Linked DNA regions of Oreochromis niloticus. The main gene of each other region encodes a partner of the protein of the gene in region 3 in a complex. Links are inferred from orthologs where the notes say so. Each region holds a gene or a part of one and is shown on either strand. Other genes may lie near its edges.

Region 1 (7,812 bases), on a different chromosome or scaffold from region 3:
GTAGTGTTCATTCCCTCCATCACCACCACCTAAAAAAACAGAATAGAAGCATTTAGATAAATGTTTTCTTACATGTGGGTTTGTTGGAAAGAGCTGCAAAAACATAAAGCTACATGCTTCTGCTGATAAAAGGTTTCCTATAATTCTGAAAGTTTATTTTTATGAGAGGAAAAACTGTCAGAGCTCTCGGTCAGACACTGGGTCAGTCTCAAGCCCATGTCCTTGGCATGCTCTGTTACTCTTGGTGGCCATATAACCTGCTGCACATAAGCTCAGTGCACAGGCAAAGGAGAAACCACCGACTGGTCATTAGGAAGGACCTCATCAGCGTACCCATTTCTAGTTTCATCTGTCAAAGTAAGATATTTTCTTCAGCTCACCTGACCAGGAAAAAGAGAATACTCTTTAAGCTCCGATAGGTCAACAGGTACTTGCTGACCGCCTTGTTCTGGTCCGGCCTCTAGCAGAACCGACTGTGCATTCAGTTTGCCGTTACTGTCACAGCAAATCTGTCCTAGCACAGTTATACTGTCCTGCAGGGAAGAAGACGCAAACCCAAGAAAGAAGTTAACTTTTAATCAAACAAATACATTTAACAGACTTAAGCAGGTTTGATTTTACTCTTCAATATATATGATTTTAAGAGGAAAAAGAATTCAGTGATGTAACGTAACATTTTATCGCAACCTACTATTATTTAATAATTTATTGTTTAAGCAGTGGGGATGAATCTTTAATTTAAAAGTTTTCTGAAGGTGTCATCTCTTCTGTACCTGGGCAGGCAGAGAGACGGGGGAGAACTCCTCAATGCTGAAGTGAGTCCTGAGTCCTTCTCCTAGCTCCTCAATCTTCTCTGTCAACACTGGGAAAGACCCAGGAAAAAAAAAATATTATCCAAAGGTTCTGGAGTATATTCATTTAGTGATTTTACACTCAAACATACAGGAAATCTTTAATCAAGTGTGTGCAACTATGTACCGTTTCGAACATCTCGCAGCCTCTGGAACATGTATTTGTAGCTGCTGTTAAGGGAATCTTCCGGTCCTTCCAATATCTCAACTTGGACGCCTGCACCTGGGTCTTTCCTGCCCACCCAACGGGTGCCCTGCACAGCCCCAAATGTGACCACCACCTCCCCCTTTCCTCCCCGCTGGCTGTACTTCTGTGAGGGTGTCGCACTTCCAAAGAGAGAAGGGGAGGTCACTTAAAGTGACAGTGATGCAAATACAAAAGTTTATCTTTAAAAAAGTTACTAGTGACAAAAATAAAGCTTTCTTTTTTAACTTTAACACAACCAGAGAGCATAATTTTCATGTTTTCAAAAAAAATCAGAGCAGCATGGGGTGGAGAGTACTTGGGAGAGAAGCTGGCTGGAGACAGCAGTATGCTCGGGCTGGCCATCGGAGCTGCAGTTCTCTTTGAACGAGGATGCTCTGGTGTCGTCAGAGGTCGTTTCTGAGAGCCCTGTACCGACAGGAACAAACACAGTCAGGATCTTGTCTGTCTACATAGACTCAAACTTACTCTGCGGGAGACCCACGAGTCACATCTAGCTTATCTTAGCTTTTAAAGGAATATCAACAAAAAAACCCAAAACATAAATGGATACACTTTTTTTTTAAAGTTATGAAAATGTATTTCTTTTGTTCAGATTAGATAATGCTCTGCTGCTGACAAGCAAGAAGTGTTTGGTTACCTTAGCAGGAGTAGAGTAAGAATCTAAGAGATCCTCCTCCTCTTCCTCAGCTTTTATTCTGATTCATTTTGTCAAAGTCTATGACTCAACAGCAACATTAGCAGACACAAATCAAAGAAAACACATGACTCCACACAGTGCAGATGGACGGGTCTTTACGCTGAAGCATCAGTGTGAAGGATACAAATCATCCATCCTGCTAATGTCTCTCATTCTACTGGATGCTTCTTCCTTCCGGGAGGTTTTTCTGGATTTGCTCTTCTTGTTCAAAACCTGCAAGATGACAAACATGCTGCATTTATAAGGAGTAGAGAATGACTACATTGTTGCATATTTAATAAGTAATTTGTAATGCATGTTAAAATCTGTGGTCCTGTTACCTCATGTTCAAACTGCTCCAGAGTGTCCATGGTGAGCTTCACCCCTTGTTTTGTGGCGCTATAGGCAACCCACTCATGCAGTATCTCGGATGTCTGCAGTCTGTTACAAATACACTGCTCCACCACTGAATGGAGGATATATGAGGGAAAACAACCAAGGATTTAATCTGAGTGTCTGAGAAAATACTAGAAGCAAGTACAGTGTGAATTAATTTTGTGGGACACAACTTGCAGTGAATAATTACTGTTCTTGATCTTTAAAAATGGCTTAGTAAATATAAAAGACGTATCAATGAAATCAAAACAAAAAAAAGCTGATTTCTAATTTACTTGACTTGTGAAAGTAAGTTATCAAGAAGAAAAATGCTATTTTAGTTAAAAGCTTTAACTAACAAAAGCGCATTGACATCGGTATATAAATATTATGACTGATGACAACAGCTTAAACTACATGTCACAACACTACATTACTGCTATCCTGCGTATGGTAGAGTCCTCGATGATTACAGTGATAATACACTTAGCTTCTTTGCTAGCACACTCTCCTGTGTAAAGCCTCAATCCATATGAGAAAAACGGTCATCTTAGTTAGCAACTTACTTTTGTCGAGGACGGAATCATCCTGATAGGGTATATCGAATATTTCCAGCTCAGCCTTTAAGCTCTCTGTAGTTACTAGCGACATGGTTTTATGATATACAGTTATTACGTTGTGGAAAACGTGAAAAGCTCCAATGTTGTGATGATAGCTGCTAACGTTAGCTTTACTCTTACTTCGCGACAATGCCGCTGACCCTAGTTTTTTTTTTTTTTAACTACACGGCTTCTAAATACTACCTACAGGCGGTTAGCTGTTAGACAGTACAAACGAAATAATAATGGTCGACCTGATGCCTGTTTCATTTTACCGCGAAAAAGCGCTGTTCGTGTTGGCGGCCGGAATATGCGTCACATTCGTAACAATAATAAACGGAAGTTGGCGGTCCCACAAAAATAAAAGCCTGTCCTGGTAACTTGGTTGTTTCAAACTTTAGCAGTGTCCCACTTCAGAAGCAGAAAAACGCAAATGCCCCACAGTTCATCCAATCAACAATTAAAAACAAAGGACGCACGAATTCTATCTGAATAATGGTCAGACAAATGGCAACTAACTCTTATCTATTTATACTTATTTAATCATCTGGTTATCTGCTCCATAGTTTGGGAATCACTGGATAACATATGTGTACAGTTTAACTATTGGATAGCACTGGTCTGGGTACCACAATTCTCAGATCTTTTTATAGGTGTGCAGTGTGTGTTACTGATACTGCTCTGCTGCTGGCAGGAAGTCTCTGGAGTGGACAATTGTGTCCTTGCAGAAGATCAGCAGCAGCAGCCTGTCATTGATTAAAGATATCTACATCAGCAGGGCTACCAGTATCAAAAAGGACTCTTTAAACCCATGGACTTTTTACCCCCTCACCTCACAAAGTGCAGCATCAGTGCCAAAACAACAAGGCTGGGAAACGGCTTCTTCCCAGACCTGTCACACTCACAATCACTGCTACACACTAACATTTTTTGTCCATGCACACATTAGGAACTTGTTACGATACACAATAACAGGTTACGCAAAACAGACTCATTCTTGCAATAACTCCTATTGTCTGTTTTTATATCTATCAAAACTCGTTTGCACTCTAGAAACAACTGCACTGTAAACAACTGCATAAATCAGATAAGAATGCGAAAAATTGCATCCTTACCGATTTATATCCTTAACTTAATTATATGATCGTTAACGTCTTGTTTTTCTAAATTTAGATAATATTCCAAATTGTATTACCTGTTTAGTTGTTCATATGACTCTTCTTCTGCATAAAATGATCCCTATGAGTGCCACCTACTCCAATCAGAAATGATATAAGATAATGATAATATAGTGACCAAATTCTTTAAAGAATACAACAGTAAAATGCAAAACTATTAGAAATAAGACAGGAAATTAATTCAGCAGATAATTGTTAATCTTGCATTTAGCACACAAAGTGGTAAAATAAACATTTGAACTCCAGTTAATTATTTTAATGCTGTTGTTTATTTCTAATAGGATGGATGCATGTTAGAGCTCTGAAACTTTACATTTTACAAATTTTAAATATTCAAACTTACTGGAACATAGCCAAAAGATGTGAAAATCACTTTTGTTTGCCACCAGATCAAAGTGAAATTGATTATATTGATTGCACAGTTCTTGGTGATGAATGCCAATGTTTCACGGATGAGTATCTGAACTGGGGCTTTTTCAGGGTCCAATCTTGTCAGTTTAGGGAGATATCTCAACAACAGATACTCATTAAAGATCCGGTGGGCATTCTTCTGGCTATCTGTGACAAATACAAAGGTATCACTGCCTCTGATTTTAGGGCTTTTTTTCCAGGTTACCATGGTGATGTAGGTAAAAAGAGAGGCACTTTTATCACACTGAAAACTCTGACTTTAAACTTGTAATAGCCCACTAAACCTTCCTGTTAAACCCCTGTGTTTCACTCAAATAATGTATATTTGGTACTCCAGCACTACGTGATGTCACCTCACATCCTAAATAGATATATGCTACAGACGTTTTTCTATGGGTATAACATTGATAAGAAAAACTGAGATCAATTTGAGCCTTGGAATATTATTACAAAAATAAACTGGTGCAACCAAGCTATAACAACAACTGTGCTTTTAAAATTATGGATTAAACAGATGTTGCTTTTGGCAGCACAACTGGTGCACTTTAAATTTTTTAAACACATTCAAACCCTCTTCTGCCGCCTCCGCAGCATTTAACCATAACAGAACTCTTAAGATAAACACAGAGATTCTCAGATTTCTGCTGTGGTGGGCTCATCGTGTACAGGATGTACTTCCATCTGTTAAAACAATGACATTGCATCAGATTGTGGTTCAGTGTAAGAGGTACAGTGGTAATGAGGAGCTGCTATAGGAATTGGGTGGTGCTGGCGGAAAGCAAGCGTCTCACTCACCTTAGTAGAAAAGCACTTGGCCCTGGGAACGAATTTCCATGATGTCACTCTCCACAGTGATTCACGGAGGGAGGCTGCCAACTCATGTGTATCATGTACCTGACAAACACAAACCTAACAAGTTGTCAACGCCTCTGAATACAGTATTCAGTTTCTGCATCACACCATGAGACAGGCAGTTTTTCCACACCTTCATGCGGTTCAGACAGGCATTTCTGAAGTCCATGCTACTGCTGCTGCTCACGATGCTCATGGACGAACTGAGAATCACCTCAGCAGCTGCGTGCAGCTTTTCTTGTTGCTTAAGGACACACACAAACATACACAATTACTTTTTTCTGGTGCCGATAAGTGTTAGAAATGAATATAAAACAACCATCACAATCTACCTGAGTATAGGGTTGTGCTTAATTGCATAACCAATTCAATCCATAGTGAGTGAAAAGAGAGAAAAGATGTCAATGATCAAAATTGTTGCTGATTCATTTTCTGTTAATGGACTGTAATAGTTATCATTAGAGGACTAAAAACTCTAAGTAAAAGAAGTAGGATACTTAGTGTGCTTGTGCATGTGCGTGTATGTGTTTGTCATGCCTTTTTTCTGTGATTTTGCGATTTCAGTGTGTTCTTCAGCTCAGTCTGCACGGCTGCTACGACGGCCTGCCTGTTGTTGTTCAGAATGTCCTCCAGGTGGAGCTCTATCAACACCTCGGTGGCTGAATGATCAACAATTTGCATGTTTGCATTGGAAAACTGAAAGAAAGGCTGCCTACAGTGTAGGGTTTTGTGACTGTACATGCTGCTGCGGTTCCTCACCCATAAGATCAGTGAGCTGGGAGGTGAAGGGGTCACTATGCTGTAAGAAGAAGAAAAGCAGGAGACTCTGCTGCACTGTGGGAAGACTTGATTCCTGCTCTGGATCATCCCAGCTGTCTTTCTCTACTGTGTACACAGTACCGCCGCTATACACAAGATCTGCAGGGGATGTTGAAACATTTATGCCAAAGTAAAGAAAATAATAAGATGGATACAGTGGGAGTTACTTGAGATAAGAATTTTAAGAAGAAAACAGAGTGTTTGCATGAAGCCACACATGGGTTACAACCAGCATGACATGTATCTAACATGCTGGCAATTAAAGACACACCTCTGGGTTGGGCAGATAATTGTAAGGGCATTTATTTATTTATTGCAGCCTTTTATGTCAGCATTAAAAAATAACATGTCAAACGTGTCTCTTTTCATGCCAAATCAAACTTCTTAAATAAAATAAATGATGATGGAAGATGGTCAGAGACAGCGTGAAGCAGGATGGATTACGGGGTGTTTTCAGGTTTCACTGTGTGAATGTGAATGGGCAGGGTATTGCTGATTAATACAGACTGTCGGTTTTGTTTGTAGTTATGATTTATTGTATACAAAGGGGGAAACACTTATTGTGAAAGAGCAGTTTCTGATAAAAGGGCCGTATTTTGACTGTTATCACTACATGAGTGCGTTTAATCAAACTGCTCCAGTCTGCTCTGTGTGCAAAACAGTGACCGTTAAGTCTTTTTAAAATGTAGCTTCCAGACTGATGTGTTTCTTTTTGATAGCTCTCTTTAGGGTAAGGCTTTAAATACCTGCTGCTACTACTTAAAATAAAATCTAAATGACTAAATGGTTAATAAAGACTTAAATTAGGCTCATTTTACTAGACTGCTGTCTGGACGCAAGAAGATAGTTTGGTCTTTTTTAGAGAAGAGCGTCCTGCTTGTTAGGTACTCATTGACAGGAGAAACCATATAATATTTACAAGACTACTACTCTGTAATTCAAATGATCTTATAAACTATTCAAATATGCCATATACAACTAATTTGCAAAATACATGTTGGAAAACTATAATGCTGCTGCCTCTATGTCCATCAGTTTGGTCCAAATTTAAACCCGAAAAACTTGACGGATTGCTCTAAAAGGTTTTGGTAACTCTGATGGGACAGACTTTTTTGTGCATGGCACTGGCAGTCTTGTGGATGTGTCTTCTCAACTGCTGAATATTTTGCAACAAAACAGGTCCTGTTCTCAAGATGATAGATTTGTAGGAACTCTGGTTGTCCTGTCTTTTTATCTAGCACTGTCATCAAGTCAAACATTCAGTCTGCACGTTGCGCACAGTTCACATTCCACATGCTTTCTACACTGTCACTGTGACAATATCAATGAAACGAAAATGAAACACTGCTCATCCCAAAAGCTATTAGCATGAAAAATTATGTAAATACTTCTGAAAAAAAAAGGAAAAAACCTTTTAAGTATATTACTGTAATAAAGCACAGTTATTCATGGGAAACAGACAGTTAGGTCAAACCCTTTCTCCACAACTGAAATCGCTGCTATGAGAATATTTTGTGGTGCGACTGGAGCACTAAATCTTGTATTGGAAATAAATTTCAAGTGCAAATTAGTTGCAGATGAACCCCATTCTCATGAGGCAGGTTTTTAGAGTGCAGGGAAAACCACTGTGTTGTGACAGAAAGTAAATTCTGTAGTCCATTTTCTTTTAGTGCTTAATGCTTTTGTTTATGTTTTCTGTTCTGCGTCCATTGTTCCGTTTGGTTTTGCCTCTCCCATTCAAATGTCGGCCTTATGAGGTCCATAAAAGTCTTAATTAGCAGCCTCAGGCTTGGGCTCATTCTCTCATAAACCCACGCAGGTGGTTGAAATGAGTTTTCTTCAA
Region 2 (7,116 bases), on a different chromosome or scaffold from region 3:
CTTATTACCATTATTTCCTTAAGCCTTAAGTTGGCTAGTTAAGTATCGGACTAACGTTTAAAGCTTTTACTTGAGTGAAGTAACTCACATTACTGCTACTGCTAAGTAATGTTAGCCAAATTCACAGCATATTCTATAAATCACCATGCGATGCCATAACTAACTGCTATAATAGCGCTGCCGTACTACATCACACTCAGTGCATTTCAATCATTTCTCCAGCAAGTTTGATAGCTAGCAAAATAATAATAGTTTTAAAAATGTGCACGTACACATTGTACACATATGTACACATTCTCAAAAATTAATTACTAGGACTCACCTATCATGTGACTCGAGAGCGCAAACTCTGCCATTGTCATTTCCATCAAACACTTAAAACGGCAATTTCCAGGCATGTTAGTGCACTCATCCCCAACTGTCCGGGGGAGGGGCGGGGTCACACATTGAAACAGACTGACATGCAGAGGTGCTTGGCAGCCCAGGTGGAGAAATTTTGCTTTTAGACTTTGCGACTCATTTTCTTTCTCTATCTGATAAGAAAACTATTCGGTCAGATAGTTATTTGTGGTGAATGAAATACAGTTTCAAGCACTTTTAAGCACCACATCTGAAATTCAAGCACTTTTCAAACCTTGAAAAGACAATATTAAAATTCAAGCATTTTCGAGGATTTCAAGTACCCATACAAACCCTGGTATTAGTTTGTTTTATCTTTTTTAAGTTTTAATAAATGCTCTTTTAATTTTGTTTTAAGAGTCTTAATATTTGTACTCCATGTCTATCTATCGCATGCTGTTCTAGCTGTTGTGTGGTCTGTTCTATGAATCCACATGAAGCACATTGTAATGTACGTGCGACACTTTGTTCTAATTATAATAATAATAGTTCAACATCTTATTATAGTAGTCTGGCAGGACAAGTAGCGTTTGGTGGTTTATGTGCAATGCATCAATAGACTGACTTTTCTCTAACTGCGTTATACATTCAAATTATGTTTTAGCAATCCCAACCTGTTAACTGTGGTTATATCCAATAACATCTGTTAATTAAAGTTTATAAAAAAAAGAAACAAAAAACTTTAATTGATTAAGTTAGGAAGTAGAAAGTACTTACAAAGGACTTCTATTAAAAGTTGAAGTACTCGTACCTTGACCAGGCTGAGGTATTCTGTCACAGCAGAGCGCGCTGCTACAGAGAGTTTCCGGGCAGCTTCATCACACACCCAACAATGTACTCCTCTTCTGCCAGAATAAACCCACAGACGGTGCTGGAAACCAAAGTCATCTGGAAGTAACACAAAAACCAACACATGCTTGATGAGAATTTCAACAAAAATCCACACAAGCTGTCACCTGGCACTGAATCTGTGATGACCAAACCTCGAAGAGCTCTATCCAGGATATGGATGGCGATGGTCATTAAGGTCCAGCACTTGGAGCAGATGTCAGCAGCACTAAAATGACAGTTTTAAAGTGTTATGTGGGCGATGAAACGGTCAGGATATTCCGCGATTGCGACAGGAAATAAATACATAATTAACCTACCTGCAGCAGCTTCGGACGTCATCATAATCTGTCATATCAATATCAAACACAAGCTCTTTCTCCAGAGCCTGGAAGGTCCCCGACTTCACAGTGTTGTGTTGACTTGGCTGTGGGCAACAAAGAGTGACAAACATACTCCATACATATGTCTGCCGTGATGCACAAACTCTGTAAGGTGTGGAAAATTACCCTGTGGCTGTACACTGCTCCCACGTCGATCTTGTAGGGGTTCATCTTCTGCATTTCCTTCTCCAGCTCATTCTGCGTGCTGAACGACTGGTAGCGTACATAGATGTCATCTTTCAGGGTAAACGAGAACTCGCGATTTTGAAAGTAGTTTTTCTGCACTGAGATTGTACAAGAAAAACAAAGAAACAAAAAAATTCAACAAGACACACACATTAGTCCTGTATTTGGGCATTTTTAACTCTCTGTCTAACTCTTAATAGTTATACATGTCAGCATCACAGAGCAGTGGATCCTGTCTTTACTGTCAACGGCACTTTTACAGTTTCATTTATAAGCATATGTTACAGTACTGCAACCATCCATTCTGAAATGAGGAATGAAAGTCAGTAGACGTAATACAAAATAAATGTCTGTGAATGAGAGGGAGACAGGTGTAACAGTGAAGCTGCAAGGAGTGGTAGTAAAGGTGGATATATTTATACATCTGCAGTTACAATAATGGCTGGTGCACAACAGAGGTCAAGAAGAGAGTGCTCACATTTATCTGCAGATGAACTGAGTGTCTAATGCAATGTTTATGCTGGATAAATGATAACGTGCTGAAGAACAGCAAAACAATTCAAACAAATCAAACATTTGTTTCATTACTGGCTACTGACCTATTTTAAACACTATTCTAAACACTGGTAACTGACCAGAATTTCAGCATCCCTGTTAAACAACAGCATTACTACAGTGTTCGTAGGATGCATTAATACAAAATCATTTTAATCTTTACTGATGAAAGTAGAGGGATTAACATGAAGCTAGAATGGCTGTATAGGATGACTTACTAATTTGGAAGAAAGTCAAATCCAGAATAATTCTACCATTTTAGTGCCTAACAAAACACGTTAGCTTCCTATATAACACAACACAGATCAACACCCCCAGTTATTTAGCTTATTTATGCTAGGTTTCCATGCCTGTGTACTCACCTCCTCCGTAGCTCAGCCAGCGGTAATACTGGGAGAATGGGAAGAGCCGCCGGTAGTACAGCGGTAATAGGTCCGGCAGAGAAGCTGGATCATAGTCTGATGATGGCATTATTTGATAGCTAAAATTAGCTGTGGATGTAAAGATACGGTAAAATATTGCTAAGCCGCTAGCTACACCGTGACAGCTCACTGTGTTGTTTTACGCCGAGGGTAGCGCGGGAAAACTCTCAAGCAACAGACCAAACCAATGACACAAGTTTAGGTCAGTGACATCACCACAACCAGGAAGTTGCAAGGCAGCCGTTTCTCTTTTAGGCTATAAAAAAATCAACGAAGGCAAAATCATCCAGGGTAATGAGATTTTTTTAAACTATTACTGCATCGAAACGTTACTATAACATTGACAATGGCTTTCTTTTTTTCCCTTCTGGTTTTAGTTAACCTTGTAATATTAGTCCTAGAAGCTTAAAAAAGGCGGACGTGACGCCAGTGAAGAGAGGCTCATGGGACATGTAGTCGTTTGGCAGCAACAACTATAAAGTACAATATGACAAAATAAAGACGCTGTGGTAAACATTATAAATTAATTATTTAAAAAATAAAGTAGCTCAATAAGTAAACCTGAAAACAAAACACAAAGAGCACAGAATATAATACAATACAGTGGTTTTTGGTAAAGTAGCTCCATAAATTACTCAGAACGGTAGCAATATTGAAATGTATTGACTTTTGTATAGTATTTTTGTCTCTCTTATTTTCTTTACTTAGTTACTTGTTAATTTATTTCAAACATGTATATTGTTTACATGTTTGAAATAAATTAACAATGAATGAATGAATAAATTACTATATTATTATAAATCCATCCAACCATTGCTCTCACTTCATCCCTCCTCCATTTTTTGCTTTTTGCTTGTGTCCTTGATACTACCAGTAGCATGAGATGGTATCTGCAGCCCATTCAGGTCACACATGTGACACGCTCTTCCAGGTTAGAACATGCAGACAGGCTGAAAGGTTTGCTGTGTGGCATGGCATCAGGCCCTTGCATCCTTCAGTGGATGTTGGGAGACCCAGCTTTGATACAAATGTTCCATGATGGTTTATGCTTCTTAAACGGACAGAGTGATATCCCTGAAGTTTCTTTGGTTTATACAGTGATGATCAAGTGTTTATTTGAGTGTTTTTAGAGTAACGTAAATATAAATGAACTACAAGGGTCTGGGGGCCTGAGCAAAGGAAACAAAAAGACCGGAGTCTGAGATGCCACATGATGGGCCATAGGACAAAACAACATTTCTCCGTAAACTAATTAGAAACTGAAAGCAAACAAACAAAAATGGGGGGGAAACTGGCTAATGTATCCTCCATCAAGGAAGAATAAGAAAAGACAAAGAAGGGTAATAGAGAGATGCCTCATCAAAGGTTTCTTTATCTTCAAGCCTTCTTTAAATTTACTTCATCCTCAGGTATTCAATAAAAAATGTTGATTGAAAGAGTGAAGTGGATTGGAAAAGAGAAGAAATATAATACTATCAATTCAATTTTTCCTAAGCTGGAAAAATTGAATTGTACACCCCTAGAGGGCAGTACAGTCTCATAACAATAATTTGAAATTTCCCACATTAATCCACATTTCAGGAAATTTGTTTTCTTTTAGTAGTTTTCATCATCCTGGCAGATCAGTTGTACTAAAACACTCAGTTATTCTGTTTCTTGCATCTTTGGTATGAGCAGTAAACACTCAGGAAAGAGGAGAGGACACTTCCACAGTTTTCAGTGAAGCATGGACGAAATGGTGCCAAATACGAGATCCAAATGAGCTAAACAAGGACAAACAGCAGCTTATTTCAGCTCTTTTTTGGGTTGATTGATTGATTCATGCCATTTTTACTCTTCAGTCACATCCACCCTTTGCTTTGACATTTGAAAAGGCCACATGCGCTTTCAAGACAAAAAGTGTCAGGCATGGAGCCTCTTTCTGTCCTGCCCATCAGTCTGGGTTGCTGCACTATTAGTGTTACAGCTTTCACTGTGGTGCATCAAACACCTCCTGACTGAAGTGGTGCTGCTCACAGTGAAGGTTGAGAGGTGTGCAGCCACAAGAGCCCTTGTCAGCTGTTGTACTTCTAATGTGAAACAACACTCTCTATTTGCAGTGTTGTACTTTAAATATGTCTGGCTCTGTAATATTATTCATTCCGTCTCATCCCCAGACTTGAATCTCTATTCATCTCTGACACTCTGTTTTTATTTCAGACCAAACAACAAACCTTCAAAATCATCCTTCCCCACTGAAGACATAACAGTAACTTGTAGCTTCTAATATACAGGCAATATTTCAAGGGAAAACATCTTCATATGCACTAAATTTAATCTTCCTCTCCACTTTCACACACACATGTAAATGCTGAGCGAGCCAACTACAGTAACATGTGTAATACCTACACTCTAGATTGATGGTAATGAACCAGCTTCAGTGAACTGTGCCACACTCAAGAGCAACTGATAGACAAGTAATGCCAATACATTTCCTTTTATGATTGCACTTTATGCTAATATACCACTCATACCCTGATTTGCATAATGCAAGAGCTCTCAACCTCATCTTACTTGAATTATGCAAATTTTATTCACTGCAAGGCATATTGGATGCGATGCATTTTTCCCCCTTTTGAATCAATTTCTAGAAATCACTTGAATCAGATTTGGGATTAATGCCTTCTGTTGCTTTGATCCGCAATTCTACTGTATATTAGAGTATATAATTAATGCATATTTACATTCAGGAGTTTCTAATATCAATCATTTCTGTGAGTTGTTGTTGCTATTTAAGCTCTCCAGTGGCTCATCATGCATGTAGATACGTACTGTAACACATAGCTACCAGTCACAGCCGCACGCTCAATGCTAAATGTCAGTGGGGCAAGTTAGATAAGGTAAAACATGGGGAGAAGATACAATTTTCAGCTGATGAATGTAGGTCAGACTGCTTTCAGGTGTCCACGGAGCCCACTGGCCAGCACCATAAGTCATTGTGTTTGTTGTACATGAGGAGTCATAGTTCATGGTTGAAAAGTCACTGTGTCTTTAGATCGCCAAAGTGTGCCAATGTTGCCTTTCATCAGGAAAACCTGGTGAAATAGGCTAATAGAAACCCTAAAACCAGTCTGGAGTGACACAAAAATGTATGTCCAAAGATACAGTAACCTTACCAAAGGAGGTATGAGAGCTAATTGTTTTCATTTTTGGATTCCACTGCTTGCTTGTCTTGCTTCTAATCCTGGTCTACTTGTGTCTGCATACATATGTTTATGTATTTTTACATATACCGGTGTTAACATGAGAATGGCTTCTACCGACTCAATTAAGGCAGGAAGCTTGAGACGCGTCCCCCCCCCCAAAAAAGGTAAAATTACACCAAACACAATAAAACCAACTAAAATGACTGGTAACAGGTGAAACATTGTATCACCTGACGCCTTTTATAGACTGCTAAGCCAAACATGATATGATGATTTAAGCATAAAAAGACAAGACATATTGGAATGGTCATTGATCAATGGTCATGACAACTGGCAAATTAATGACCACGAAACTGACCTCATGGCCCATTGTCAGTCAGTGGTGCTAGTGTCAGTCATTATGCAAATGTACTATTTACGAAGTTCAGGAAACCTGCAGTCAGCTAAGACAGAAGAAGTCACTTGGATGAGTGACGAAACATTTCTCCCACTGAAAACACTTCATCCAGAATCTTTTTTGGGGGGGATTTCCTTACCTGGATGATTGGACATAGAGTCATATTGGAAATTTAATAATTTATTAATTTAGCAAACAGAGGACTCAGTAGGATGTGAAAGAACCATTCACACCTACAATAGCCTGGCGCATCTCCTTCCACATGCTGGTCAACAGCTTGGCTACACACTGCTGTGGGATGGCATCTCATTCTTCAACCAGCATTTGTTGCAAGTCAGCCAATGTGAGAGTGTTGGTCAGAGAATAAGATGCTGGTCTCTGTTGTTTAAATGAATCAATTGTTAAATTGCCAATGTCTTGTTTCTTCAGACATTAATCAACCAATCCAATAAATGACACCAAAATTCAATTCAATTCAATTCAATACATCTAGTGTTAAATCCCAACAGCAGTTACCTCAAGACGCTTTTTATCGTAAGGTAAAGACCCTAATAATACAGAGAAACTCCAACAATCAGACGTCTCCCTGTGAGCAAGCACTTGGTGACAATGAGAAGGAAAAACCTTTGGCAGAACCAGGTTAAGTGAGTTAAAGCAAAATAAGATGTCTTGCCTTGACAGAGAAGATTTTTCATGGGCACAGCCCACATACTCAAGTCAAGATTGTTACAACAAAAAAAAACAATCACCCAAAAACCAGT
Region 3 (6,963 bases):
GGAGCCCTGCCGTTTGACCCAGACAGATTTGTGAACCATTGAAGTGAACTGAATTGCAGTCATTTTCATAATAGCCCATGCAATAATCAGCCATCGCATTTAGCTTTTCGAATTCCTTTAGAAACACCGGCATGTGCAGGTAAACCACGGGAGGAACAGATGGCACAGGACTAAACACCTGTTTAAAGGGCATTTAAACTGACTTATGTAAACATCGTGTTAACTTTGCTATATGCATTTTATATTTTCCTTGTCCTTGCTTCGTTTCCTCCAGACTGGAAGACACAGCAATTTTAGCACGACCCATAGAACTACAACTATGGGAAATAAGATGAGGTTGGACTAAAGGCATAAAAAACTCACATGAGGACTGGGTCCTGAGGTTCAGCTTTGGCCTCAACTTTGACTGCAGTCACTGCTGCTACTTCAGGTTTAGACTCCGCGTCGTCTTTCACTACAGGTGCCTCCTCCTCGAGGCCAACCTCCATCGGTTCATCAAAGTCCATCTCATCAAATGCCATGGCATCATTCACTGAGGAACACGTTAAAATGTAAAGTTAGTGCATAAACTTTTCACAAAGCAAAAAAAGGGCAAAAGATTAGAAACCATCTTCATTACCTTCTTCTTCGTTCTTGTCTTCTTCATTCAGTTTTTCCACTTTTACCTTCTGCTTTGCCATAGGAGAAGCAGATGTGGAGGAGGGAGGGCGGACTGATGACCTGGGGGCAGACTGTGATGGTGGCGTTCGAATCACTTTTGCCTTTAACCCAGCTGCTGAGGGCGAGTCCTGCTATCAAAGGGATGATGATTCATTATAATTTCAGGTAAGCCACTTTATAAATTTGTCTAAAGAGATAATCAATATCCTTTGATTAGGAGGGTGGGCTGAGTTACCTTTGGCAACTGAGGTTTGATAGAGAAGGGATTCATGGGTGATCCCACAGATTTCTTTTTCTTTAGAGTCACCACAGGTGGAGGAGTCAGAAGAGCTGGTTTCTGGAAAGACGGAGCATATTTTAAAGCCACATTAACAAAGGCTAAGATACCAATAGAAAGAAATTACGGCCTTTAAAAGAAAAAGAAAAAGCAGAAGGGAATATGTCATCATGCCCAAACAGGAAAAAAGTCAAAATGGCGTGAAGAGAAACCTAATAAAAGACTGCAGGTTTTAGAACAGCATGTGTAATCTCAAGTGTGGTTAATAGATGAAAACGCCTTGCTACAGACTACTGTCACATTTTTAAATGAAGAATTACCAACCTCAGAGTGCAGGTCCTGCAAGATATCCCCTAACAGGTCATCTTTGGACAGATCAACATCTTTCTGTAAGAGACAAGAGTACAAAAACATCTGATAAATGCATAAGGACAAAAACAAACAAACAAACAAACAAACAAAAAAAAGCTGGATGTTTTTGAGCTTTACACTGACTGGAATATCCAAAGCACCATGCAGGCACAGAAATCCTTACATGTAGACCTGCATGGGGCATTTTTCACAGAAGCAAATCAAAGATGCTAACAAACACATACCTCAGCAGGCCTCTTGACGTTGCTGTTCATGAATAGGCTCTTAATGCTGTTGGGTTTGGCTACGACAGATTTCTTCACATTCTTCTTTGAGTCACCTCCTTTGGCGCCTCCTTTTCCTGATAAAACAAACAAAACCTATTCATGCACCTGATCTGGACAACTTACTCCAGAAAATGTAATCAACTCCTTGTGTTTACCCCTTTTGTCTTCTACTACATCATCATCCAAATCATCGTCAAAAATTTCTCGTCCATCCTCCACGTATCCTGTTCCATCTGGCAAAAAAAAAGAAAGAAAAAAGAAGAGGTAATAAAACAATTGTGACGTTGGCACAGTATAAATATTCCTACAGCAGGCTGACTGACACTAACCGTCATCAATAATCCAGTCATCCTCTTGCCTCTCTCGTACCATCTTTGAGTACTCATCCTCATCCACCTCCTCATACACACTGCTGAACTCCTTCACCTGAAAAACACAACACTGGTTAAAACACAGGTGTACTACTGTGATATGACACCTGCATACAGCATCCTAGGATAGAGAACAGCATGAATCATTTTAATGAGTGAAAAACAGATGCTGTAAAAGGAAGTATGAAGATACTTAACCAGCTTTGTTTATTAAGTCACAGTGAAGGAGTTAAAACAGGTGTTTGATGCAAATTAACATATTCTTCACACACCTTGAAGCAGAAACCAGTGATAAGGCTGCCTTTCATACCTCATATTTGATCTTCTCTCCCATCTTAGCCTTCTTGAGCTGTTCCAGTGCGGACTTCCTCCCCACCTTCTCCCGTTTCTCCCGTCTGGAGCGAGTCTTCGCCAAACCACAGGCTTCACTTCCATCGTCTGAGGAGAGGTTCAAGACAACGCAGTATAAGGAAGGACGTTTGACTCGTTTCTTCAAACATATAATACGCATATACCAGATCGACCTGACCCTTGTGTTTCTTTTACCATTCAATTTAAACGTCTGAAGACTTACTGGTGGTCGTTATATAGATTTTTCTCGTTCTCGAAGCGCCACAGAAGGTTTTAGTGGCGAGTTAACAGACCTCCACATCAGCGCTCTTCTGCTAGCTACCTATATTTACCTTCATGTCCTCCTGCTTGAACCTTAATAATACTCATTTAACAGTGTAAAACGCTGGCAAGCAGACAACGGTGGGCACTTTGGGTGTTAATGACCGAAGCCTGATAGCAGGTGTATTAACATAATCTGAACTAGCTAGCGTGTCAGCTAGCTTCTTTGCTTTCCCACCGCAATGTCGCCAAAAGTCAGCAAAAACAGAGGCGCGAGGCCCAAAACTCACCGCCGTCCGGAGCGTCCATGTCTTTGTCAGGGTTTGACACTGGAGCCATGGCGAGAAGTGGTGGTTTTGTCTTATTTATTCGTACGGTTATGGCAGGTCAACACAACAACAGAACAGCTCGCGCCAAATCGGCTTCCCGGGGAAAGTCATATGTCGGAAGTGACGACAGAGCGCCCAACCAATAAACTGGCACGCTATATCACCTCTGTCCACAAGGTGGCAGTGTTGTACAATATAGCAGTATTATTTCTCCCTATGGGCTGCACTGTATCTTCTTCTCTGTGCACCGGATTATATTTATCTGGCAGGCAAATGTGTGTGTGATTACTGAGGTCTGGCGCGATGTGGCATACAGAACATGCGCTTAAAATATATCCACAATTTCGACCGTTTTCAGAATTTACACTGAAACCAAGTTTATGTAACTTAAAGAAGTTTAAAATGCAATCATAAGAATATAAATCAGAGAAAGTTTCTGAGCAAAATTTTGTCAGTTGGTCTCAAAAAGTCAATTTATGTGATATTAGCATAAATATTGTATGAGGTTCAAACGAGTTTATAGTGACTTTTTATTTCTTTTGAGTTAATAAAATCGCATCGCAATTTGGCTAAAAGAAACAAAACAAGAACAATATATATTTACAAAACAACAAAAATCTTTTAAACCATTCTATAAATCCGGGGATTTTTAGTACTGGGGCCATTATTTTGCTCTGTTTTTCAAAGCCTGGCTACCCCAGTGAAGCTGGTTTCCACAGCAACCAAACCGGTCCATGGAGAGGACAATAGATTCCTGTCCCAGATTGGGGCCACAGAGACACAGTGCGTCCAATAATGAAAACACAAAGCGTGTTTTGTCCTCCATTCACACGGCTTATTTTGGCTTTCTATACATTAAATGACTGATTACTTCGCCAAGTTCCGGTGGACTGCACAGTATATTGCAGGTTATAGAAAGGCTCTTTGTAGTATTCATCTTATTTTTGTCTTTACAACATTAGGCTTTTTAAACTTGTTCTCATTAGGGTAAGAAGTTGCAGATTGCATGAATTAGGCCGTTTGCTGAGGCACAAAACTGAGGAAGTCTACTGTAAGCTCTGCTATATCGACTATGGCCCACAGTTGTCGCTGCTCATCAGCGCTGAACAGCTGATGCGTCCTTTGGTCAGAGTAGACAAACAGCTTGTTGTTGCTCTGCTGCACTTCTGCCGCTGCGCAGCTCGCTCACTTTATAAAGAGCAAAGCAGAGAAAAAGTGAGCCTCATTGTGATATTTTGTTTGTTCCACCATGGTGAAACAACGACGCGTCAGAGCGCATTCCTCTTGCGCACCTGTCGCGCCTTTTTGTCGCAGAAGAGGATCTCTAAAGGTAAGACATCCCTAAACAGACATTAAAATAGTTGTTTCTTTATTCGCAGTTTATATGCGTATTCCATTTGTTGACTTTTTTTTCTTCTTTTTGTTGAGGACTCGCGGGGGTAAGTTGCCCGTTAGCTTGGAGGGTAAACTTTTATGAGTAGTCGGAATCTAATCCTAAAGAAAATGCGCCAAATATTAAAATACGACGATCCTGTTACAGTCAAATGCACTGCTGTACTCTATAGGAGCTTGGTTTACCTTAAGTTATACAATGAGGGATACTAAACTAGTCAGGACAGTTTTTTAGCTTCTTCTTTTCCACAATCATGTTTGTTTACAAATCTCACACAAAGATAAGCACATACACTAGACACGTGAAAACCCACATACTTCTATTTAAATCAGCGTTTGGCGGATAGCGGTGCCACTCAGTGCCATTTTTCACTGATGGTGCTATGGCCTGCTCCACCAATCCTCACCGGGTATACTGGCGGTCCTCTCTCATTGGCTACCTCATGGAGCTCTCTCTCCTCTTTTCCGTCGCCATGGAGAAAGCTCCTCAGCGCGCAGAGATCGTTTACGCAGACACAGATTCACTCACGGCTCGTGAAAAGATGTCAGTGTGATCTCTTAATTTATCTCCTCACTGTTTTGGGTTGAATCTGTGCTCCTTTGTTAGTACACAGTAATAAACAGACAGATCGTAGAAAATCAAAATCAGATTATTTGCCAAATATGTTTTCCCATGTGAGGATTTCACCATAGAGTCAAGCAGTCAAAAGAAGAGTGCTCTGGTGTTTCCCCGTATACCCTAAAGGGGCACCCCTGAGCAAATATGGTTAAACCCTTTTAATTCGGAGAAGTCTTTTATGTTAACGCTTTAATATGACGCAAGACTAAAGGGAATATAACTGTGATTTAACAGACGGCGCTTGACGCTTTTTAAATTACTATTAAAACGGGCAGAATTTTTTATTCCAAAAAATAGTCAGAGTGAGGCCTCTGCCATGAGTCTGCGTCTCTGCAGCAGAGAGGATCAGATGATGAGGAGAGGACAGACAGAGAGGCAGAGCGGAGAGTGGGCGGGGGAACTGAGGAAGGAGACAGAGTGGTGAGGAGAGGCATCGTTCCACTGATGCTGAGTCACATATCAGAGGGACCACAGCTGCATCCCATGAGTCTTTGGGAATAATGGAGGAGCTTGAACACACCTGCCCTCATCCCCGAACGGTAGGGCATCCGCGCCTATGTGTGTGTGTGTTTTCTCGTCTTCCATTGCGCACAGAGTGTGTGTGACAGAGAGAGGGAGACAAAGGGTCCTGTTATGAAACAGATCCCCTGTAGCATGTGGCTGTGGGATCTGCTTAGAGTGCTGAGTGGACAGTGTGTGTGGGTGTTTCTGAGTGTGTTGCCAAAGGAGGGAAGGGGTCCGTACGGTAGCCAACATAGCATGAACCTCCTGCTGAGGGGGAAATTGCCGCAGCAAGGATACAGAGCTTCCTATGTTGGGATACTCTGGTGTGATTTATTGCTTTAATGCTCCTAAAAACTCTCCATTTTGCCCTTTCCTCACCTCTGTCTCCACTCCATCGAGCCATTTTTTCTTCTTGAGAGCCAATCTCATTGTTAGTCTCATGTCCCGTGTCCCCGTGGCTCTCTCTTTCACCCCAGCCTTAATCCTTCTTATGCCAGATGTTCTTTGCTTGTGCCAGAGTCGGCATTACTGAGCGCCTGCTCTGATAGGTCAGGTGCCTGTACCTCTGGTCACTTGGTTTTCAGTCTTTACCATCTGCTGTGTTCAGATGGTGGAGCTCTGTTCTTCCTGGGCCATAGGTGAATCACGGGTGATGAGGGAACTCCTCCAGCACTTTGTTGTTCTTTTCTGTTGAAGTGTGTGTTATGCATTTATTCACTTTTAAGCTCTAATAAACACTGTTAACCAACACCTTCTGGCTGTAATGTTGTCTGTAAGTGCAGCAGAATTAGGAAGTACAGGACAGCATTTAAAAGAGGAGGTTAGCTAAGGAAAAGTTAGATTGTCAGATTGATAGAGAAAGTAGGCAGGACTATGTGTAGAAAATAGAAGAGGCAAAGGAAAAGGCTTGTAGTGAGTTCTATGTGAGGCTGGACACTAAGGAAGGAAAGCAGAGAGATCGAGCTGGAAAGGATGTGCAGCAGGTTAGGGAGCTCAAGGATAGAGATGGAAAGGTACGTATGAGTGAAGGGATGATAAAGGATGGAAAAAGTACTTTGAGGTATACTTTGAATATAGAAATTCAATTCAGCTCAGTTTTATTTGTATAGCACCAAATCACAACAACAGTCGCCTCAAGATGCTTTATAATGTAATGTAAAGACCCTACAATAATACAGAGAAAGCCCCAACAATCAGATGACCCTCTATGAACAAGCACTTGGCGACAGTGGGAAGGAAAAACTCATATTTAACAGGAAGAAACCGCTGGCAGAACCACGCTCAGGGAGGGGCCGGTTGGTGGTGAGGGGAGGAAGACAGGACAAAAGAAATGACCGCAAAAAACAGCTGTTACACAGATAGGCAGGCTATACTGTGCAGCTTATACATGTGCAATTTGAACTCCTTTTTGGAAAAACAAATATTCATTTATGATCCAGCCATGTGCATTTCCAAAGTTAGACAAGTACAAGCAAAATTACCTACTTATCTCCAACACTGAGAAAGGATCAGCCAGGATCTAACTGCCACGGTCCCTACTGTTTGTCCTTGATACCTGTTT
Region 4 (7,978 bases), on a different chromosome or scaffold from region 3:
CTGGTCATGCAACAGGACAATCAGCCTCATTTATTAATATCTATGTGGAAAAGGTCTTACTCCGCAAATTTCTTCCCACTCAAAATTACCACCAGATTTAGGATTATTATTATTTATTTTGATCTTACCACGATGCATACAATAGTAAATCATAGCTGTTCGGAACCAACAGTCCCATAGACTCGCCTTACAATTTGCATACTATCTGCCCCGCCCCAATTTTTTTCATATAAGGAAACATATTTACTTTCAGGGAAGCAGAGAAAATAGTGATTGTTCTTAGAGAGAAGCCTGCACCTCTAGGCAAGAAATAAGGAGAAAAGCTGTAGAAAAATAAGTAATAGTGTTTGAGGTCCAAGGAGGCAGCTGGAAGAGAAGCAGCTTTCCAAAGTGTTTCCACTGGACTGATGACTGTTTTTTTTTTTTTTTAAATTAATTAATTAATTAAAACTCTCAGGCTGAAATGATGGGAGAGAAGAATATAATTTTCCCAGAGAAACTCACTGTAGCTAAGTAAAAAAAAAAAAAAAAAAGCTTGAAGGTGATATAAAAAAAGACAAATTGTGTGTTTCTGAATAAGTCACAATCACAAGAAGACACAAATTTCAAGTTTCCAGTTGGAATTTTTTTTGGTGGTAAGCCTCCTCAACTATAATTTCCAGAACAAACCTGTTTTTGAAATGTGCCAAGTGTTTTCTTTAGGAAAGCTTACTGTGTCATAGCGGAGATTATTCTTGTGAAGAAATTCCAGTTGTTGTTTTGGGTCCAAGTCATTAAAACGGAAGCGGAAAAGATCAACTTCCTGTTGTATAAACCAGCGCCTCAGATCTTCCCTTTGAGAGACAAATGGAAATAAACATTTATCTTTTGCAGCTGAACAACTTCTATTCTGACCACATCTTTCAGTATTCCTAAATGGAGACTAAAGACTTACGTTTGGCAGTAGGCCAGTCTGAGAATGAAGTGGGAGATATGGTCTTTTCTTCGTTTTTCATATTCAGTTGGTCCACTTTGAGATTTCTTGTCATCCTTAAGGGTTAGAAAACAATTAGGTAATTTGAAAGACAAATAGATGTCAATCATCTAATCATCACTCACCACTTCTTGTCATGTTGTACAGTTTTTTATTTTATGTACATATATGAAAAAATGATCACATACTAAAAGTCATTTTTACGGTAGCTGTACACTAACTTCCATTATCTCAGGCTCTTGTAATTCAGCATAGGGTCTTAAAATGTTAGTAAATGAGTCACGTTTTCTGCAACACCCAGCAGTGTCTCTTCTTTACTAATACAAATACATTTTATTGCTAAATCATGCTATTTCATCACTATTGCAAAGAGAATTTGATGGATCCTGCGCAAGCTTAAGTTCTAGGGCATCAAAGTCAACACTGTGTTAATACACATTGAGCTATACACTGGCCTTACTCTAAAAGCTATGACAGTTTATTAGATACGTCTCACTGCCATTTTAAGGGGATCACAAGCACCATGAAGTGCAGTGCGATATTACAGGACCCTAACCAAATCCAAACCCTGTGTTTTCATTAAAACACGTAACAGGTAGAAGTTTAAAAAGAAATCTCTTTGTGATAAAGCTTTAGCTGAAGTTGTTGAAAACATAATGCAATAACGGACTCACTAATACTCTTTAAAGTTGCATAATGGGAAACATACTCACAGCATCTGGTCTGTAAGGAAAGTTCAGAGCTTTAAGCTCTTTCTCAAGTTTGCTTATATACAGGTCTGTAAGCTTGACATGGCTCACTCCCAAATTCTCCACAGTCTTCAACACTACAGTGGCAACAGACATTAGTAACCACATGTCCTAAATAAAATGTATTTCACAAGAGCAGAGAAAACAATGCTTACAGTAATTTTCATCATTTGAATTTCACTAGTATGAGACAAATCTTACACTTCAGTCGTTCCACAGCAAATGTTTCAAATTCAGAGAGAGAGATGTTTTCAAGAGGAGGCTGTCCATAAAACTGCAGGTGCTGCCCATAGAGCTCCGACTGAGGGTTAATGCTATTCTTCTTTCTTCTGCCTCCAAACTGCATAGTGCCTGATGTTAAGAGAAATCATGTATGTTTTCATGTACCACTTGGTAACAAGCTGGGTCCCAAACCTGCCATATCTGATGCAGTGAGCCATTTACCAAAGCGACCTTCAATACAAATTCATGACAATTAAATAAGCTGTTCTCATTTCAAAATGCATAACGCGTGATTTTGCCATTTTCTCTTTACTAGGAGTTGAATAAATAAAACACACTATTGTGGAGAAGACCCGAGCGACCTTTTAAACGCTTATGACTAACAAACATTAAGAAATTCATTGGCCTTTGATTTGACACAGTAAAGGATGCTGCTATACAAAATCAGAACAAACGAATTGCTGCAGGCATCTGCTATTAACCATTAACCAGTCTGTGCAGAAGTGGCACCCGGTATAACTTAAAGCAAAACTTGGCAAACGGAGTTTCTCCTTGACTAATCTTCATCACAGTCGCTCAATTAGGGATTAAAGAAAAGAGTCGAAATGTTTCTGACAGCTAGAAATTAGCCTCTACAGACAAACTGAACTGACAGGGTGAAGCTAGTTGGTTTGTTATGTTACACTGGCTCAGCAGTCAGTAACTGTCGTTCTCATAAACTCAATTTTTACGTTCGAGGCTAAATGTAGCCGCTAACTGAGACTATTTAGCTTATGTTAACAATAGAGCCCATAGCAAGAAGTTAATGGTAGGGAGAAAAACTCCAAATTTGACGTTTGCTAGGTATCAAATTTGAGTTTAAACTGCGTTGAAAAGACCGAGCTCGAACACAGCCCGAGAAACTTATTTCACGGTTCAGGATATAATACTGTCGTTACATTACCGATTAGATGACGGTTTTAGAGTCCTAATAACGCAGTCCCGCCAAACAAAGTGGGCTGTTCAACAAACGCGGGTTAAAAATATGACGTTGCATCCGACACCGGAAGAGAACGAAAGTTGTGAAGTGGTGTGTACTCGTTTTACTTTTCAGCACAGCCCGTCCCGTCTCTCAAAATAACGATGACCTCCATGAAAACTCAAGCAAAAAGTTTCTTTTAAAAGGATATTACCCAAATTTGTCATTTCACACTATGTTTCCATTTCTGTTTTTTTGGCGTTTGAACCAAATCCAACACAAACTCACGGGCCCATGTGTATTACATAACAAACGCCCCAATAAAACGCGGGTTCTTCTTATCTTCAAATACAGAAAATCTTTGTTTTTCAAACGATTAATAACAGTTTTAAAATTAAACCCAGATATTAAAAATAAATCATTCAGAAACCCATTTCATTTTCCAAATGCCCATTTGATAAGGTTGGTTGGACTGATTTTCTTCTGAAATATCACTACTCCACAGACAGTTTACCTATCAGATCAGCAAATATCCACAAATAAGGATTACTGGCACGTCCTTAGCATATAAACTTCTCTTCACACAGACACTGCATATGGATATACGGGTGTATATGCAGGAATGAATGAAACACCGCATGTTTGACACAAGAATGTTAGTTTTAAAATAAACAGAATATATTCTGTAAAGCACTTTCTGGAAAGGTTTAAATTCCATGTCATTTATAACTGTGATTTCTGTGGTCGAAATAGATCAGACATTTCGCATTTATTTTTCCAGTGTATGTAATCCAAAATATTGTGGTTTGACGTACAAAAGTTTTGTATTTAGAGAAATTGGTAAATGGTCATGTTATATTATAGAGACATTTTAGTTTATTTTGTGGCTAACTCAATAAACAAACAAAAAAATTCTAACCCAACTTCTGGTCATTTTTGGTAAGTTTCATATGCATACAGTAAAATGAACCTATACAAAACCAAAACGTCGTTACGTTTTTAACTGACATCAACCATTACTACAATTTTCTCAGCAGACGGTTAGGTGTTTTCTGCCTTTTAAAAAAATGAAGCTGCAGTTATTTAAAGTTATTTAACTAACTATTTGAAAGTTTCACATTAATGACACATATTCAGAAAGGGAGCAACTGTAGTGGAAATTAAATGTACTCCCTTTTAACACATTTCCGTGTTTCTGCTTTATAACATGCATTTTACTTCACATACCTGAAAGTAAAATGCACTTTTTAATCCGGTTGTGAGTAATTTTCACACGCTTTTTTCCTGGTTGTTGTGATATGGCCACATAAAGCACGCTTATAAGACATATATAATAGCTGTGAATAAAATAATATCAAAGCGGGGTAAAAACATGTGCGATAATGACAATAATTCAACTTTTAAACAGTCGTGACTTTTAGGGCTAACATATGAGAACTACAAGTGTTCCCAAGACTCCCGAGGACAGAGGCGCGTTCACGCCGACTCTCTTGCTTTGTGCATTCTTTGGCTCTGCTGCTTAGCAACAAACACTAGCGAGCTAGCCAACTGCCTGGCTAGCTCTCACGCGCAACGTAGCTCACTGAAATAGGCAGCAATGGATATCCATCCTATAAATGTCATGAGAGTGACCTCAGGTGTTGACAGTCAATAAACGGCATCTTTCGTTTAGGAGAGAACGTTTTTGCGCTAGACAGGGAAGAAGACGTTAGCGAACGGAGCAGAAGGTTGTCTTTCTTCTGTGAAAAGTGGCTAATCTTAGCTAGGCAGCCTTAGCACCGGAGTCTCTTGCGTCTCCTCTTGCCACGGAGAAGAGCGGCGGGAGGCTGTAGATATGTGGATGTGGGTTAGCTGACTGCATAACTCGCCTAATGTCATTGGATGAGTTGTAGCGTCGTTTTACAGGTAAGAAACTGCACGCTTCTTTGGCATGCTTTCCCATCATTTCTTCACCGTTTATTTCACCCAGCTTTAACGCACTACCTCAGGAGCTGCTCTGTACTTCAAGGGGAGCCTCCTTTCAGCAATTCAACAGGTCTTATCTTGACCAAGGCAAGGGATTTGAGTGAAGAAGAGGAGTGAGAAGTTAACTTCTAACTTAATTCCCATCAGAGACTATGAACGTATTACATATAGCAAAAGTCTTCGACAGAGTTGAATAGCTTAGTTGGGTGTCATGGCGTTTTGATCTGTGTTATTCAGTCTGTGCTTTAAAAAATTGTGGTGCCCCGCCTTGAGGCCTGGGCAAGTAACGGTAAGTCTATGAAGATGACTCACTGTCTAGCAAGGGGGGTGTATTATCTGCTTCATACTGAGCAGAATTCAGTACTATGTGCATAGCAATGCAAAGCATACTCTCCTACCATGTTATATAAAAAATGCAGTAGGCCTGTATATTTCAGATTCGGTGTTATCACATTTGTGTGGGGGGGGTAATACTGATCTGAAAACCCAGAATTTACTCAGGACAGTTGTTTGTGCAGGTATGGAGAATATTGTGTTTAAATATGTGTAGCTGATACCTGTCTTGAAGTGTTCGACTGCACCTTCCAGTCACTTCTTTAGAGCTTGAAAAAAGAAAGCAGCTGGACTTCTTTCAAGAGTCTTTTTCCCTTAAAAAAACAAATGGTGGAAAGTCACAAGTATTTACCCTGGGGGGGTACCCTTTGGCAGTGATCCTTACCCAGTATTGATAATGTGAGTCACCACATGAGCCAAGACGTAAAAAACCCCCAACTTGGGTCACTCACATTACCATCAGTGGGGGCTAAGAATGAAATCTCTGTGAGGCCTTGCCCTAACATGACCTATTGAGATCACCCAAGGAGAGTTGTGATTCATTTCAGAAATGTGGGGGATAAGACATGACCACAGTGCTAAAAGATTGCCCCACACTGTTATTGATACTAAGAGCACAATTATTAGAATAGAATAGAATAATCCTTTAATTGTCCCACAAGGGGAAATTTGGGTGTAACAGCATCAAGAAAGACACACATACAAACAAACAGTGCACAAGACACAGAACAGAAACATACACAATTTTTACATATTTACATCAAGGACAATTTTTACCAAAAACAGAGTACTGTACCGTTATTAAATTAAATAAAATTAAATACAGATAAGAGGTTATAGTGTGAATCGGTTGATAAAATAGTGCAAGTTACAGCGCTGATGTAAACCTCTATGTTTGTTGGGAGCAGTTTTGATTGTACAGTCTGACAGCTGCAGGGAGGAAGGACCTGCGGAAACGCTCGCATGAAGATCTCATATTCAGATCTCATTTTCAAATACTGTTAAAGCAAATCATCATCATTTATCTAAATCTGAATCATGTTGTTCTAAACCTATAGTAGTAATAAATAAACAATGCATAATCAGCTTCTGAACCTCCCAGTTTGACAGTTTCTGTGATGATAAAACACATTTAAACTACAACTCCAGAACCGACTACACTTGAATATGAGAGGACTAGCTGCTTGAAAGGAAGACGAGGTCTTTACTCAACTAAAGTGAAATGCAAAGTCAAGACTTTAAAATAATCCAAAAGTTTACATTAAAAGAAGAGCATACTATTCTATTTTCAGCTGTGTTTTGCCTTCATGTTATACCAACTGATGTGTCATTCGGCTCAATTACAGATACATATTGTGACTCAAATTCAGGCAGGCTGTTGAACACTACAGTCACGCAGTAGGCTGTCAGTGTCCACTGAGAACAGCTTTCCCACAATATGTTGTTTAGCGTAGCACTCAGCCACTCCACATATATAGCTGTGGGGACCCGGTTGCTATGCGGAGTCTGCAGTTTTCTGCACTAATGGAACAATAAACATAGTGAACCACCTCTCCAGTCAAGCTGAAAATTTGTTTTACAACAGTTAGTAAAATGTGCACCCATAACAGTTTAAAAGCTAATTACAGACGTTGTGTATGTGACACCGTGTATTAGAGTGCAATGAAGTGCTTGTGGTGCTGGCGAATATGATAATTATATTATTATGCCTATAAAAGTTGAGTTGTGACTGTTGGCTATAAAAATGTATTGTAAAACATTTTTTTAGGCTTGGACAACTACATTTGTAACAGTATATTGACATATCAAACTGAAAATAAGTTTGATTAGTATTAAAAATAAGTAGCAGTTAGTTGCGCCTCTGCTAATTTGCTTGATCGTCAGTTGCACTTTAACAGCATTTATAAGTAACTTATAAACTCAGTAACAAAGTTGGTTTTCATCATATTTGTTCAACTGATAACTGTCTCTGAAGTGAGTGATTCATATATAAACCACATTTGAGTTGCACTTGTCCAGTGTTTGTGTGGCTTTTTCTTTTTTTTTTTTGTAGTATCTAATATTTTATTTTACACTTTCAGCTGGTACATGTGCTCCCGTCACAGCTCTGAAACAACACAGGCACAGTGGAACTGAGAAAATCAGCCAGACGTCACCACCATGTTGGAGGAGGACATGGAAGTGGCCATCAAAGTGGTCGTGGTCGGCAATGGAGCTGTCGGCAAGTCCAGTATGATCCAACGTTACTGCAAGGGCATTTTCACTAAAGACTACAAAAAAACAATTGGAGTGGACTTCCTGGAAAGGCAGATACTGTAAGATAATCATTTGAAAGATGTTCTACTTTATTTATCAGTTATAGTCTATAATCAAAGTCGCAGAGGGTCTGTTAACTAACTACAACTTCAGCTGTATAAAATTGTTTTACAATATTAAATACATATTTCAGTAAGTGCATACTGATCAATGTGGAATCCTGTTGGTACCCACATTTTAGGTTTAATCAGAAATTACTCTTTTTTTTAAAAAAAATGAATTTGACTAAATTTGAGACATTTTACTTAAAAAGGCCACATATTATATTCAGCTTTTATTTAATTAACATTAATTATTATTATTTAATATTTTATTAACCACAGCACAGTGGTGCAGTGGTTAGCATTGTGGCCTCTCAGTGAGATGGTCCTGGGTTTGAATCCACATGCTGGCTCGGGCTTTTCTGTGACTGTGTTGGTTCTCTCTCGGTACTCTGGTTTCCTCTGACAGTCCAAAGACATC

Evidence for each region.
Region 1: the proteins of pola1 (region 3) and pola2 are in contact, whole or in part, in a cryo-EM structure (PDB 8G99), measured with the Xenopus laevis proteins. The link is inferred for Oreochromis niloticus from reciprocal best matches to the Homo sapiens genes POLA1 and POLA2. Residues at the interface, in NP_001082055.1 of Xenopus laevis: Gln548, Lys551, His553, Gln554, Asn555, Phe642, Glu645, Val646, Gln649, Asn652, Leu673, Gly675, Arg676, Phe679, Lys1137, Asp1141, Pro1143, Asp1144, Ile1321, Gln1322, His1324, Asn1325, Lys1326, Leu1328, Leu1329, Arg1332, Ile1335, Lys1336, Tyr1338, Tyr1339; in XP_018112289.1 of Xenopus laevis: Met280, Tyr281, Lys282, Phe283, Met284, Phe285, Gln286, Lys287, Leu288, Met289, Ile291, Arg292, Val295, Ser296, Ile299, Glu314, Thr316, Leu320, Pro321, Gln323, Glu324, Thr325, Val326, Gln331, Gly333, Cys334, Asp335, Ser336, Asn337, Gly338.
Region 2: the proteins of pola1 (region 3) and prim1 are in contact, whole or in part, in a cryo-EM structure (PDB 7OPL), measured with the Homo sapiens proteins. The link is inferred for Oreochromis niloticus from reciprocal best matches to the Homo sapiens genes POLA1 and PRIM1. Residues at the interface, in NP_058633.2 of Homo sapiens: Tyr439, Ala440, Pro447, Glu448, Lys449, Ser450, Phe876, Thr877, Thr878, Gln880, Leu906; in NP_000937.1 of Homo sapiens: Asn92, Thr93, Val94, Lys95, Leu96, Gly97, Ala98.
Region 4: the proteins of pola1 (region 3) and prim2 are in contact, whole or in part, in a cryo-EM structure (PDB 8G9F), measured with the Xenopus laevis proteins. The link is inferred for Oreochromis niloticus from reciprocal best matches to the Homo sapiens genes POLA1 and PRIM2. Residues at the interface, in NP_001082055.1 of Xenopus laevis: Leu842, Lys853, Ile894, Pro895, Glu896, Leu971, His974, Arg977, Glu978, Leu981, His982, Glu985, Gln988, Lys989, Asn991, Glu993, Asn1007, Asn1009, Arg1101, Asp1102, Glu1106, Gln1109, Glu1221, Asp1224, Gly1225, Asp1227, Ala1229, Leu1230, Met1233, Trp1234; in XP_018121015.1 of Xenopus laevis: Pro34, Pro35, Thr36, Glu37, Asn38, Ile39, Ser40, Leu41, Ile42, Phe44, Glu45, Ile49, Ile107, Phe110, Ile111, Leu114, Cys117, Gln118, Ser119, Glu120, Asp121, Arg123, Ala240, Arg241, Leu243, Val245, Val246, Gln247, Arg251, Leu252.

Annotation. Positions count from the first base shown.
Region 1 is NC_031966.2:21,173,890-21,181,701, forward strand, and holds the start of pola2 (DNA polymerase alpha subunit B), read right to left. Parts: upstream 3,028-7,812; 5' UTR 2,762-3,027; coding exon 2,677-2,761; intron 2,202-2,676; coding exon 2,077-2,201; intron 1,970-2,076; coding exon 1,881-1,969; intron 1,755-1,880; coding exon 1,697-1,754; intron 1,465-1,696; coding exon 1,355-1,464; intron 1,179-1,354; coding exon 979-1,178; intron 863-978; coding exon 774-862; intron 534-773; coding exon 381-533; intron 30-380; coding exon 1-29. Other genes in the region: top6bl (type 2 DNA topoisomerase 6 subunit B-like), read right to left, coding at 4,932-4,979, 5,094-5,207, 5,284-5,394, 5,688-5,809, 5,910-6,068. UniProt on the Homo sapiens protein: Accessory subunit of the DNA polymerase alpha complex (also known as the alpha DNA polymerase-primase complex) which plays an essential role in the initiation of DNA synthesis.
Region 2 is NC_031984.2:12,818,703-12,825,818, reverse strand, and holds the start of prim1 (DNA primase small subunit), read right to left. Parts: upstream 3,005-7,116; 5' UTR 2,823-3,004; coding exon 2,714-2,822; intron 1,895-2,713; coding exon 1,737-1,894; intron 1,655-1,736; coding exon 1,548-1,654; intron 1,457-1,547; coding exon 1,383-1,456; intron 1,288-1,382; coding exon 1,151-1,287; intron 1-1,150. UniProt on the Homo sapiens protein: Catalytic subunit of the DNA primase complex and component of the DNA polymerase alpha complex (also known as the alpha DNA polymerase-primase complex - primosome/replisome) which play an essential role in the initiation of DNA synthesis.
Region 3 is NC_031974.2:21,298,648-21,305,610, reverse strand, and holds the start of pola1 (DNA polymerase alpha catalytic subunit), read right to left. Parts: upstream 3,017-6,963; 5' UTR 2,898-3,016; coding exon 2,849-2,897; intron 2,385-2,848; coding exon 2,257-2,384; intron 2,002-2,256; coding exon 1,905-2,001; intron 1,809-1,904; coding exon 1,731-1,808; intron 1,650-1,730; coding exon 1,534-1,649; intron 1,325-1,533; coding exon 1,262-1,324; intron 998-1,261; coding exon 896-997; intron 792-895; coding exon 620-791; intron 533-619; coding exon 364-532; intron 1-363. Other genes in the region: pcyt1ba (choline-phosphate cytidylyltransferase B), read left to right, coding at 4,137-4,217. UniProt on the Homo sapiens protein: Catalytic subunit of the DNA polymerase alpha complex (also known as the alpha DNA polymerase-primase complex) which plays an essential role in the initiation of DNA synthesis.
Region 4 is NC_031978.2:20,005,051-20,013,028, reverse strand, and holds the start of prim2 (DNA primase large subunit), read right to left. Parts: upstream 3,014-7,978; 5' UTR 2,888-3,013; intron 2,074-2,887; 5' UTR 2,069-2,073; coding exon 1,924-2,068; intron 1,800-1,923; coding exon 1,687-1,799; intron 1,030-1,686; coding exon 935-1,029; intron 834-934; coding exon 713-833; intron 1-712. Other genes in the region: rab23 (ras-related protein Rab-23), read left to right, coding at 7,361-7,515. UniProt on the Homo sapiens protein: Regulatory subunit of the DNA primase complex and component of the DNA polymerase alpha complex (also known as the alpha DNA polymerase-primase complex) which play an essential role in the initiation of DNA synthesis.